Saccharomyces cerevisiae S288C: one gene and its partner. Changing the gene in region 1 together with any one later gene gives a genetic interaction. Each region holds a gene or a part of one and is shown in the gene's direction. Other genes may lie near its edges.

What was found. Genes that interact genetically often act in the same process or in processes that back each other up.
Region 2: mutations in ERV41 (region 1) and ESC1 together harm fitness more than expected from each alone (negative genetic interaction), as found in Saccharomyces cerevisiae (2 studies listed by BioGRID).

The regions. Positions count from the first base shown.
Region 1 is NC_001145.3:137,992-142,230, reverse strand, and holds ERV41 (Erv41p), read left to right. Parts: upstream 1-2,016; coding exon 2,017-2,047; intron 2,048-2,140; coding exon 2,141-3,168; downstream 3,169-4,239. Other genes in the region: ORC1 (origin recognition complex subunit 1), read right to left, coding at 1-21; SMA2 (Sma2p), read left to right, coding at 698-1,807; ITT1 (RBR-type E3 ubiquitin transferase), read right to left, coding at 3,287-4,239. UniProt on the Saccharomyces cerevisiae protein: Constituent of COPII-coated endoplasmic reticulum-derived transport vesicles. Required for efficient transport of a subset of secretory proteins to the Golgi. The C-terminal Ile-Leu motif is required for exit from the endoplasmic reticulum.
Region 2 is NC_001145.3:705,464-712,609, forward strand, and holds ESC1 (Esc1p), read left to right. Parts: upstream 1-1,669; coding exon 1,670-6,646; downstream 6,647-7,146. Other genes in the region: transport protein particle complex II subunit TRS130, read right to left, coding at 1-1,424; ERG8 (phosphomevalonate kinase), read left to right, coding at 6,853-7,146. UniProt on the Saccharomyces cerevisiae protein: Involved in the clustering of telomeres at the nuclear periphery, forming discrete subcompartments that accumulate a complex of histone-binding silencing factors like SIR4. Required for SIR4-mediated anchoring and partitioning of plasmids.

The DNA.
Region 1 (4,239 bases):
ATCCTTCAACGTTTTTGCCATCTTATCTACTCTATTGTGGTTTTTGTAATGAGTATTAATCAATAGGGAATGAGTTCCTGCTTCTGGAAACTTTTAGGCTGAATTTGCCGCCTATGCAGTTTTCTTTCCCTTTGCGCAACTTCATCTCTTCTCAATGTTGTTGTTTTTCTATGATTTTCGATCTGGCCGTGTCAACGTTAATAAAAAATAAGTCGAGGAAGAGAGTAGTTACATATGTAGTGGTGTTCGTTGGTGCAATATTTGTTGATATAACGATGAGACAGGTCACCAAAGAATTTCAAATATTTGAGGTTTATATCTTTTCTAATTTGGCGCCAAGTTATTATCCTGTGATACCCAGTAAGACAAAAAATGCCCCATAGCAGTCCTTATCTTAATACTGACCATTATGAAGGGGCTTACATTGTACAAACATATTTGTAATAGAATGTACCGGATATTTAAAATAACCCAAGCATCAATTGTGTAGTATTCTTAATTTTTTTTCTTGGTAAATTTTTGGGAGAACATTTTTTTGTGTCATCTTAGGGGAAATTATAAACCATTATACACTCCATACCATGCACTTACTTAAATTCTATGGACACATCCATCAATTAAAAGATAAAACTAATAAATAGAAGCATGTTATATATGAATATATATATTCTTTCTGTCATAATATAAAAGGGCGAGCATGTTATTCCCTAAACGTCTGATTGTGTGGGGTGTTCTATTGATTTTAAGTTTATCACAATTTGTCCTCTACCTGCCAGCCACAACATGTACGAACTCTAAGGGACTTAGGTTATGCGCTCCACAGTTTACTATAACTGTGATTGGAGGATCCAGTACTGCAAATGAGTTTATTGCAAGTGTAAGAGAATTTCTGCGATTGATTTCGTACCTGACAATTGACATGGGTTGGTCGAATGAATTCACTGATCCAAGTGTGTATGAGGATGAAAATTTGGTGGACACATTTCAGCCTGATAAGGTTTTTGAGCTCAATTATTTTGGATTTTGTAAACGGAGTAATAAAAGCAAAGTTTATTGTACCTCTAATGAGAATTATGGCATGGACGTACTTGAAGTACTTGTCAGAGACGTCGGGATTCAATTAGGTAACATTTCCACTACACGATCGAATGAAACCAAAAAATTCGGAGACTCTCTCGTATTGACCTACCGTTTGGCATTGACATCTATTCGTGATTTTTTGAAACACGACAAGCACACAGGAAATGCCCTATCAAAGGCTTTGATTGGCAGTCCTGATCCAAATGTAAAAGGCGTGTCACCAACAAAAAACTATCTGAAAGGCGTCAACCTGGCATTTATACTGATGATGTTCAACGGCATGGTTTTTTACTTTGCAGTGTTGGAAATAATAGTCGGATTCCTCAGTATCTGCGTAGTGTCAGCCTTTGGGGGAGCACTTAGTGTTGGGAAACGACACCGCTTATTTCCTATGCTTTTGAAGTCATCAAGTTCAATATTAGTTGTTATTGCTACATTGACAATATTATGTAACATCGTATATTTGATTGCACTGAAAACATTAGAACCTGAAGAGGTAACAGACGTAGGATCTGACAACGCTGCTGTACACACTACAGGCTGGGAACTGTTAAAAGTAAACGTGGGAAGTGGGTTCATTATGGGGCTCGCCAGGTATGCCATCCAGTGGGTCCTATTGGTACTCGCATTTCTTGCAGCAAATCATTACAAAGCTAAGCCCAAAAAGTCTGATAAGTATACAGAAGACACATCTAACTCCCCTTCTCCAGACTTGATGGAGAAGTAATTCACCACAGAACTTTTTTTTCAAATGACAGTAAATATGTAAACATATACACAGCCTTTCAGTATATTAAGTATTTTTGCATAACGTCCTTTTTTCCCGCTCGGTCAAGGCTTTGAAAAGATATTATCAATGTTCTATTCTTACTGAGAAAAGCGTTCCTCCAAAATGCTTTTGCTGTAACGTACAGGCAGAGACTTCAGGAGTATATAATGGCAGGATTGAAGACATTTGATGCGTTTCGTATGTTATATGGATTTTTCTGAAGTAGCCCGCTTCAGCATATTTTATTTTTGCTTTTGCTTTTTCACTAACAATGGAAATTTAACTTTACAGCAAAAACTGAAGAACAGTACAAGAAGAAATCCACCAAGGGTGGCTTAACATCTTTGTTGACATATCTGTTTCTGTTGTTTATAGCATGGACCGAGTTTGGTGAATACTTCGGTGGTTATATTGACCAGCAGTACGTAGTGGACAGTCAAGTTAGAGATACCGTTCAAATTAATATGGATATATACGTCAACACGAAATGTGATTGGTTGCAAATCAACGTCAGAGACCAAACAATGGATCGGAAACTTGTATTAGAGGAATTGCAATTGGAAGAGATGCCATTCTTTATTCCTTATGACACAAAAGTCAATGATATCAATGAAATTATTACGCCGGAATTGGATGAAATCTTAGGGGAAGCTATCCCAGCAGAATTTAGAGAAAAACTAGATACTAGGTCATTTTTTGATGAAAGTGATCCTAACAAGGCACATCTTCCGGAATTCAATGGGTGCCATGTATTTGGGTCCATTCCGGTAAATAGAGTTAGTGGCGAATTGCAGATTACAGCGAAGAGTTTAGGTTACGTGGCTTCACGCAAAGCACCACTGGAAGAATTAAAATTTAATCATGTTATTAATGAGTTCTCTTTTGGTGATTTCTATCCATATATTGATAACCCATTGGATAACACTGCACAGTTTAATCAGGATGAACCTTTAACTACTTACGTCTATTACACATCTGTTGTGCCCACTCTTTTCAAGAAATTGGGGGCAGAAGTGGATACTAATCAATATTCTGTTAACGATTACCGCTATTTGTACAAAGATGTCGCTGCTAAAGGTGATAAAATGCCGGGCATCTTCTTCAAATACAATTTCGAACCATTATCCATAGTAGTTTCTGATGTTCGTTTAAGCTTTATACAGTTTTTGGTCAGATTAGTGGCAATCTGCTCATTTTTGGTCTACTGTGCTTCGTGGATTTTCACACTACTGGATATGGCTCTTATCACCATCATGGGACCTAAGTGGTCCTTGCGTTATCAGCCAGATGATAAAACTAAGGGTATTTTAGATAGGTAGATATGTAAAAGAAAAGAGAATGCAGTATACCCAAGATAACGTTTCATTTTCATCTGTATAAATTTCATGACAATAGATTATAAGAAAAAGTGTGAGACTGAAGGCAGAGCGATCGCACTCAAGTTTCTGTGCCAGGCATACCTTCAAACAATCGTCCATAACAGCCTGAATATGCTTCTCTAAAATGTTCATAAGGGTCCTCAGGATAAAGTAATACTCCGCATATAAAACAGAACAGCGTCCCGCATACTTCGCATTTCATTTTATTGCAACCTTCACTTCTTTCTACAACTACCTTACACTTTGGACATCGCTGCAAATTCGAACCCTCTTTTTTAATCGCTAAATCTAACATTTTTTCAGCAAGGTAATCATTGACTTCAAGTTCTAATACTCTTCTCCCATATTTTGCCTCCAGTTTCCGCTTTCTCTCATATGAAGTAACGGTATCATCTAGATATTCCTCAATAATATCGGTCGATAACGAAACTTTCTTGCCACATTTATTGTTGTAACCATGCCAGGCATGCAAGCAGTCAAAGCAAAATACAAAATGACATTTTTGACACTGAATCATCGCATCATCGAGGTCTTCTTTTGTGCACCAACTATCACATCTTCGACAAGTCACACAAGCATACGGACAATATTTTGAGAGTCTTGTAGCCGCCTGGTTGTAGAACATTTTTTCGTATCTTTCACATAGCTCTGTATCGATAACCTCTTTTAAGAAGGACACTGGAATCAAAGGTGTAAACAATGCCTTCAGCATTTTTTTATAGCTCTTGAAATCTTCTAGTTTTAATTCTTTGTATTCGCATTGTGGACATCTTACACTGGATATTCGGTTTTCCTGAATCATTGCAGTGAAATAAGATTTGGCGCATCCTCTGCAAAGATAGTGTTCTACATTCGCATTTTCACATGGCAATTTGATCATTCTAACACCCTTTTCCATTTCCATACAAATACAACAATGGTAGTTAGATCTGCTCACTTTTTGGAGGGTGGCTTCCTCACTTATCTGCTTAAACAAGTCATACTGATCCTGTGTCAGGCACTTTCTTATTC
Region 2 (7,146 bases), 570 kb from region 1:
AAAACTTGCAATATTTTCAAACCAATGCTATTCCAGTTCGTTTGAGTATAATATTCGTAACAGGAAAGGAAAAGCGAGACTGCCTCCTCATATTTCTTTCCCTGATAGTAAAGCAAACCTATCTCAATGGATAAAATATCTACTATCCTTTGACGCTTCCCTTCACATTTGTTGAAGAGAGAAAGAATTTCTTTGGTGAGAGTAAGGAAGTTTTCTTGGAAGACAGTTTCATCGACAAAAGTTTCTTTTAATAGATCAAATTTGTATTTAACGTCACTATTAGGGTAGTTTTTGTCCATTAGTCTATAACCACTTGTAGCCATAACACCTTGCACCCAGTTGTCGCGCTTCAACATTAATAACTCAGCTTTGATTTCACACAAGAGAGGATTTGAGACATTCTCAAATTCAAAATATGACAGCATCGAAGTTATAAAATAGTGCTTAAATTCCAATAATCTCACAGACTTTCTATACTCTATTGATATGGATTCAATAAAATTCTTGATTAGTTGAAATGCTCCTACAAAGGCGGTCAACGTCTGGTCCTCTAGTTTTAGAAGTCTTAACCTTCTAATGAAAAAATACTTATGCAATTGAAACTTATCGAGTGTACCTTCTATTATTATGGAGCCCAGTGATTCATCTGATTTAGAAGATGATTCAAAAGGTACCTGAAGTTTTCCATCCGGCATATTCATGTTTCTACGGAGTATTTCTTTTTTGATTTTTTGCAATTCCAGGCTGGCATCTTCCAAAATATTGAATACCACATATAACTCGTACAATTTTTCTCTTGTCAAAAGCTGTTCCTCAAAGTTATTTCCTTTTTGTAAATTGGCCAACGAATGTTGCAAATGTGTCAATCGTTTTTGAAAGATGCTCAGTACGGAAGCCTTAATCTTTTGGCTAAATTGGTTCCAAAACTCCTGCCTTTCTTTGGGAGATCTATAAACCGATCGAACTTCCAAAGTTTGTACATGCGGAAAGTCTTTGCCAAATTTCTCCATTAGGGATACCGATTTGAATAGGTTAGAGTCCACTACTTCAGAATTGGCATACAGTAAAATAATTGGTTTATAAATCATTTTTTCTCCTGTCGATGAAGATACAGATTCCAGATTTGGTAGCCACTGTCTCACAAGAGGCCGTACTTTGGCCCTGTATTGGTCGATAGAGATACAGTTCACTATCAAAAATCTGATAAACGGCTGTTCATCATTAGACTTGTCTGCCTCCCCTCTACCTTCTGGAATCAATTCAATTGGAAGCCTGTTAACCGTTCGTACAGTTCCGTCAAATGCCTTCCAATGTATATTGTCTAACGGTAAAATCTGCTGAAACTCTGGCCTCAGACTCTCAAATAAATCAAACGGGTCAAAATAGCTGACAGGAACCGATCCACAATATATTTCTTTATCCATCTACTATATTAGCATGTAAAAGCAAGTTCACTGGCTATTTTTATTGCTTTTATGCTCACTTTCTTTCAAAACTTCTAACTTGCACTTTTCACCATTTTCATGTTCCGCGAGCTGTTCTTAAGAAGTGAAAACAAAGGAATTTAAAATGCGAGAAAGTCTTTAGTCCTATTGACAAGTATATTGAACACGTTGTAAATTCACCAAGGGGTTAAGTACAAGAACCAATAAATCTATACTGTGAAAATATGTCAAAAAAAAAAGAAACCTTTACTCCAAGGGCAAATAAACTTAAACTGACGACCCCAAGAAGAAAACTGAAAATACTGTCATCTCTCCTTGACGCGGACGAGGATTCCAAAATGAAAGATCAACATGGGTACTCAAGGGTCCACAATGATAAATACAGAGTAGCAAAGCCTACTCAGCACTCGACTTTACATGAATCTATTTCCTCCAGGCGAAGCAGTCATATTCATAATAAATCCCTTCATGAAGATAGTGCGAGGGCATTAAGCTGGGTAGATTCTCTAATTAATAGGGGGAAAAGTATACTTACTACACTAGAAAAGGAAGATGCCTTGTTTGAGCGTAGTCTTGAGGAGGAAAGACAACGTTTTCAGCTTCATGACTCTTTAATGAACAAGTACACAGGAAACAGTAAATCTCATCAGCGACTAATCGATCTCAGGAAGAGCCAATACGGAACGGATACTTCTTTCCAAAATAATGATGAAATTCCCTTAGATAGTTTCATAAGTTCTCCCTTACCGGACGCTGAGGACGAGTCGTCCTCAAATATCGACTCCGATAAGGATGAAGATCTGGAAGGTAAACAATCTTTAATCAAAGATTTCGATCTTGAAAATGATGAATACGAGCTCTCTGAAGAAGAAAAGAATAGTGACGGCCAAAGTAGTCCTTCAATAATGATATTATCAGATGAAGAATATGCAGAGGAAGGAGCACTACAAGATGTATCGAATGATGAATATGCCGAAGAGGAGGGGCAAGTTGAGAGAAAGAATATAGGGCAAGAACAGGCAAATGTAGAGAATGCTACACAAATTAGTTCTTCTGATTCCAGTGAAGGACAGAATTATTCAGAGGGAGTAGAAATGGAATTAGAAGACGACATTGATGTGGAAAGCGATGCTGAAAAAGATGAAAGTCAGGGTGCAGAAGGAACAGAACATTCGGTAGATTTTTCAAAATACATGCAGCCTAGAACAGATAATACTAAGATCCCCGTTATCGAAAAATATGAATCTGATGAGCACAAAGTCCATCAAAGATATTCAGAAGACGGTGCATTTGATTTCGGTTCAGTAAATATTTCAGTTGACGATGAGTCCGAGGATGAAGAAAGTCAAGCTGAAAGTTACTCAGCAAATGCTGAAAATGTGTACCACCATAATGAACATGAACTGGATGATAAGGAACTAATAGAAGATATAGAATCTTCAGATAGTGAATCCCAAAGTGCACAAGAAAGCGAACAAGGAAGTGAAGATGATTTTGAATATAAAATGAAAAACGAAAAAAGCACGTCAGAAGAAACTGAGAATACCAGCGAAAGCAGAGACCAAGGTTTCGCTAAAGATGCTTATACTAAGAACAAAGTGGAACAACAGGAAAATGACGAAGAACCTGAAAAAGATGACATTATCAGAAGCTCTCTAGACAAAAATTTTCACGGAAACAACAACAAAAGTGAATACTCGGAAAATGTTTTGGAGAATGAAACTGATCCTGCTATAGTAGAAAGAGAAAATCAAATTAACGATGTTGAAGGTTATGACGTAACAGGAAAAAGTGTCGAAAGTGATTTGCACGAGCATTCCCCTGATAATTTGTATGATCTCGCCGCAAGGGCTATGCTTCAATTCCAACAAAGTAGAAATTCGAACTGCCCTCAAAAAGAGGAGCAGGTATCCGAATCTTATTTAGGGCACTCAAATGGAAGCAACTTATCGGGCAGGTCTTTAGACGAATCCGAAGAGCAAATACCCCTAAAGGACTTCACAGGTGAAAACAATAATAATTTAAAAACAGACCGAGGTGATCTTTCATCTTCTGTTGAAATAGAGGTTGAAAAAGTTTCTGAAAAGAAACTGGACGGTTCTACAGAAAAAGAACTGGTACCACTATCCACAGATACTACGATTAACAATTCATCATTAGGAAATGAAGACAGTATCTATTATTCACTCGATGACGCTGATGCTATATCAGAGAATCTTACCGATGTTCCTCTTATGGAAATCAAAACAACTCCGAAATATGAAGTAGTAATTTCTGAATCTGTGTATAGTTCTACTTCTTACGAAGATAACACAGTTGCCATGCCACCGCAAGTGGAGTACACTTCACCATTTATGAATGACCCATTCAATTCGTTGAACGATGATTACGAAAAGAAGCATGACCTACTGAAATCAACGTTAGCAGCCCTTGCCCCAGCTTTCACCAAAAAGGATGCAGAATTTGTGGAAGCTGGAGTGACGAAATCATGCTTGACATCTACATCTGGGCACACAAACATTTTTCACACAAGTAAGGAAACTAAACAGGTGAGCGATTTGGATGAATCTACGGAAAACGTTACTTTTGAAAATGAAAATACAGGTGATGAAAATAAAAATCAAAGTAAAAATTTTCCAGGCGTGGCTAACAGTACTGACAAGTCAACTGAAGATAACACGGATGAAAAGTACTTTTCAGCGATTAATTATACCAACGTTACAGGAGACTCTTCCTGCGAGGACATAATTGAAACGGCTTCAAATGTAGAAGAAAATTTAAGATACTGTGAAAAGGATATGAACGAAGCTGAGATGTCTTCTGGCGATGAATGCGTAAAACAGAATGATGATGGTAGTAAAACTCAAATTTCGTTTTCAACAGATTCGCCAGACAATTTTCAAGAAAGCAACGACAACACTGAATTCTCTTCTACTAAATATAAAGTAAGAAATAGTGATCTTGAAGACGACGAATCACTCAAGAAGGAACTTACAAAAGCTGAAGTAGTTGATAAGCTTGATGAAGAGGAAAGTGAGGATTCATATGAACAAGATTATGCGGATCCAGAACCAGGCAATGATGAAGGCAGTAATGAAAATATAGTTAAAGGTACAAAAAAGGATACTCTCGGAATAGTAGAACCAGAAAATGAAAAAGTTAATAAGGTGCACGAAGAAGAAACACTTTTCGAAGCCAATGTCAGTTCATCCGTAAATGTTCAGAACAAAGACATGCACACCGACGTCATCAATCAAGAGGCGCAAGCGAATTACGAAGCTGGTGAAAGAAAATACTATATCCAGAATACAGATACGGAGGAAGCACACATTTCCATTATCGAAAGAATAGATGAGAATGCGATTGGAAATAATATGGAGATCCCAGAAAGGTCGTGCGTGGAAAAAACGCACAACGAAGTGCTCTTTGAAAGAAGAGCAACTACCATTGAAAACACAAAAGCCCTGGAAAATAATACCAATATGCATGATCAGGTTAGCCAAGCTTGCTCTGATTCAGACCGAGACCAAGACTCCACAGCTGAAAAAAATGTTGAGGGATCTGCAAAACATAATTTGGACATTCGGGTGTCCAGTTCGGAAATTGAGTCTGTGGAACCATTGAAGCCAGAATCTGATCGATCAAATATTTTTTCATCCCCAATTCGTGTTATTGGAGCTGTAGTTAAGGGAGTGGGTAAGGTAGTCGACGTAGCTGAATCATTCGTGAAAAAAATTGATGTTATGGATTCTGAGAGTGATGATAACGTTGATATTGGTGATTATAATCAAGACATTTTTAACAAGTCGAATTCTACCGATGCATCTGTTAATATGAAAAGTGTAAGTAGCAAAGAGAGAGACAGCGATGAAGATGAAGCTGTCATACTCGGAGGAGTTACCGCAGAAGCACATAATGACAATGGTAATAATTCTCGTGTGATAAACATCGATCCCACGACAAACGGTGCTTATGAAGAGGACTCCGAAGTGTTTCGACAGCAAGTAAAGGACAAGGAAAATTTGCATAAGTCGGAAGAGCCGCTAGTTGAAGGTTTACAATCCGAGCAACATTTCGAAAAGAAAGACCACAGCGAGAATGAAGAAGAATTTGATACCATATATGGAGATATAACATCAGCAAATATTCACAGTAATGCCCCCGATGATATTAAGAGACAACAACTCCTAAAGAATCTAAGTGACCTAGAGAATTATTCTCAGAGGCTCATTGAAGATTCCAGGAGAGGAAAAAATCAAGAAGAATCAGACGAAGTTAATACAAGCCGTGAACGGGATCTCACGTTTGAAAAGTCCGTTAATGAGAAATATGCTGGAGCAATTGAAGAAGACACTTTTTCGGAGTTAGATATTAGCATTCAACACCCCGAACATGAAGAAGACCTGGACCTATCAAACAATCAGGAGAGGTCAATAGAAGAACTAAATTCAGAGCCAGAAGAAGCTGAGTTGTACGAATTGGAAATAGAGGGCCCTACAGAGACAGCAGCTTCTAGTAAAATGAATGATGATGAAAGGCAACGCGGAAATATACCGTCCACAGATCTTCCATCTGATCCTCCGTCTGATAAGGAAGAAGTGACAGATTCTTATCCCTATTCAAATTCGGAAAATATTACCGCTGAAAAGAGTGCGCCAACATCACCGGAAGTGTATGAAATATTCTCAGACACGCCAAATGAAGTCCCTATGGAAATTAATGATGAAATTCCCGCCACCACGCTTGAGAAACACGATAAAACCAATGTAACATCCGTTTTGGATGATAGATCAGAACATTTATCTAGCCACGATGTTGATAATGAGCCACACGATAATTCCATTAACATCAAAGTAAATGAAGGTGAGGAGCCCGAACATCAAGCAGTGGATATACCTGTTAAAGTAGAAGTTAAAGAAGAACAGGAGGAAATGCCTTCAAAATCTGTACTTGAAGAACAGAAACCAAGTATGGAACTAATCAATGATAAAAGTTCTCCAGAAAATAATAATGATGAGGAAACAAACCGCGAAAAGGACAAAACTAAAGCAAAAAAGAAAAGCCGTAAAAGAAACTACAACAGCAGAAGACGGAAAAGAAAAATCACAGAAGGCAGTTCTGCCGCATCAAATACTAAAAGGCGTAGGGGGCACGAGCCAAAAAGCCGTGGACAGAATACGCATCCAAGTGTTGACAAATAATCAAATTGTATACAGGAATATGTAGATAGTAATAATTATTGCGATGCGTTTTTCTATACGAGATCTAAAAGGAAAAAAGTTCGGTTTTAAGGCGGAGTTAACGTCATGTCGAATGGAAAGAAAGATTATATAAAGAATGGAAAAACAAAAAAGGTGAAAAAACATCTTGGAAGGCCTCATAATAAATCAATCGGCTGCCTCGAGAAATGTCAGAGTTGAGAGCCTTCAGTGCCCCAGGGAAAGCGTTACTAGCTGGTGGATATTTAGTTTTAGATACAAAATATGAAGCATTTGTAGTCGGATTATCGGCAAGAATGCATGCTGTAGCCCATCCTTACGGTTCATTGCAAGGGTCTGATAAGTTTGAAGTGCGTGTGAAAAGTAAACAATTTAAAGATGGGGAGTGGCTGTACCATATAAGTCCTAAAAGTGGCTTCATTCCTGTTTCGATAGGCGGATCTAAGAACCCTTTCATTGAAAAAGTTATCGCTAACGTATTT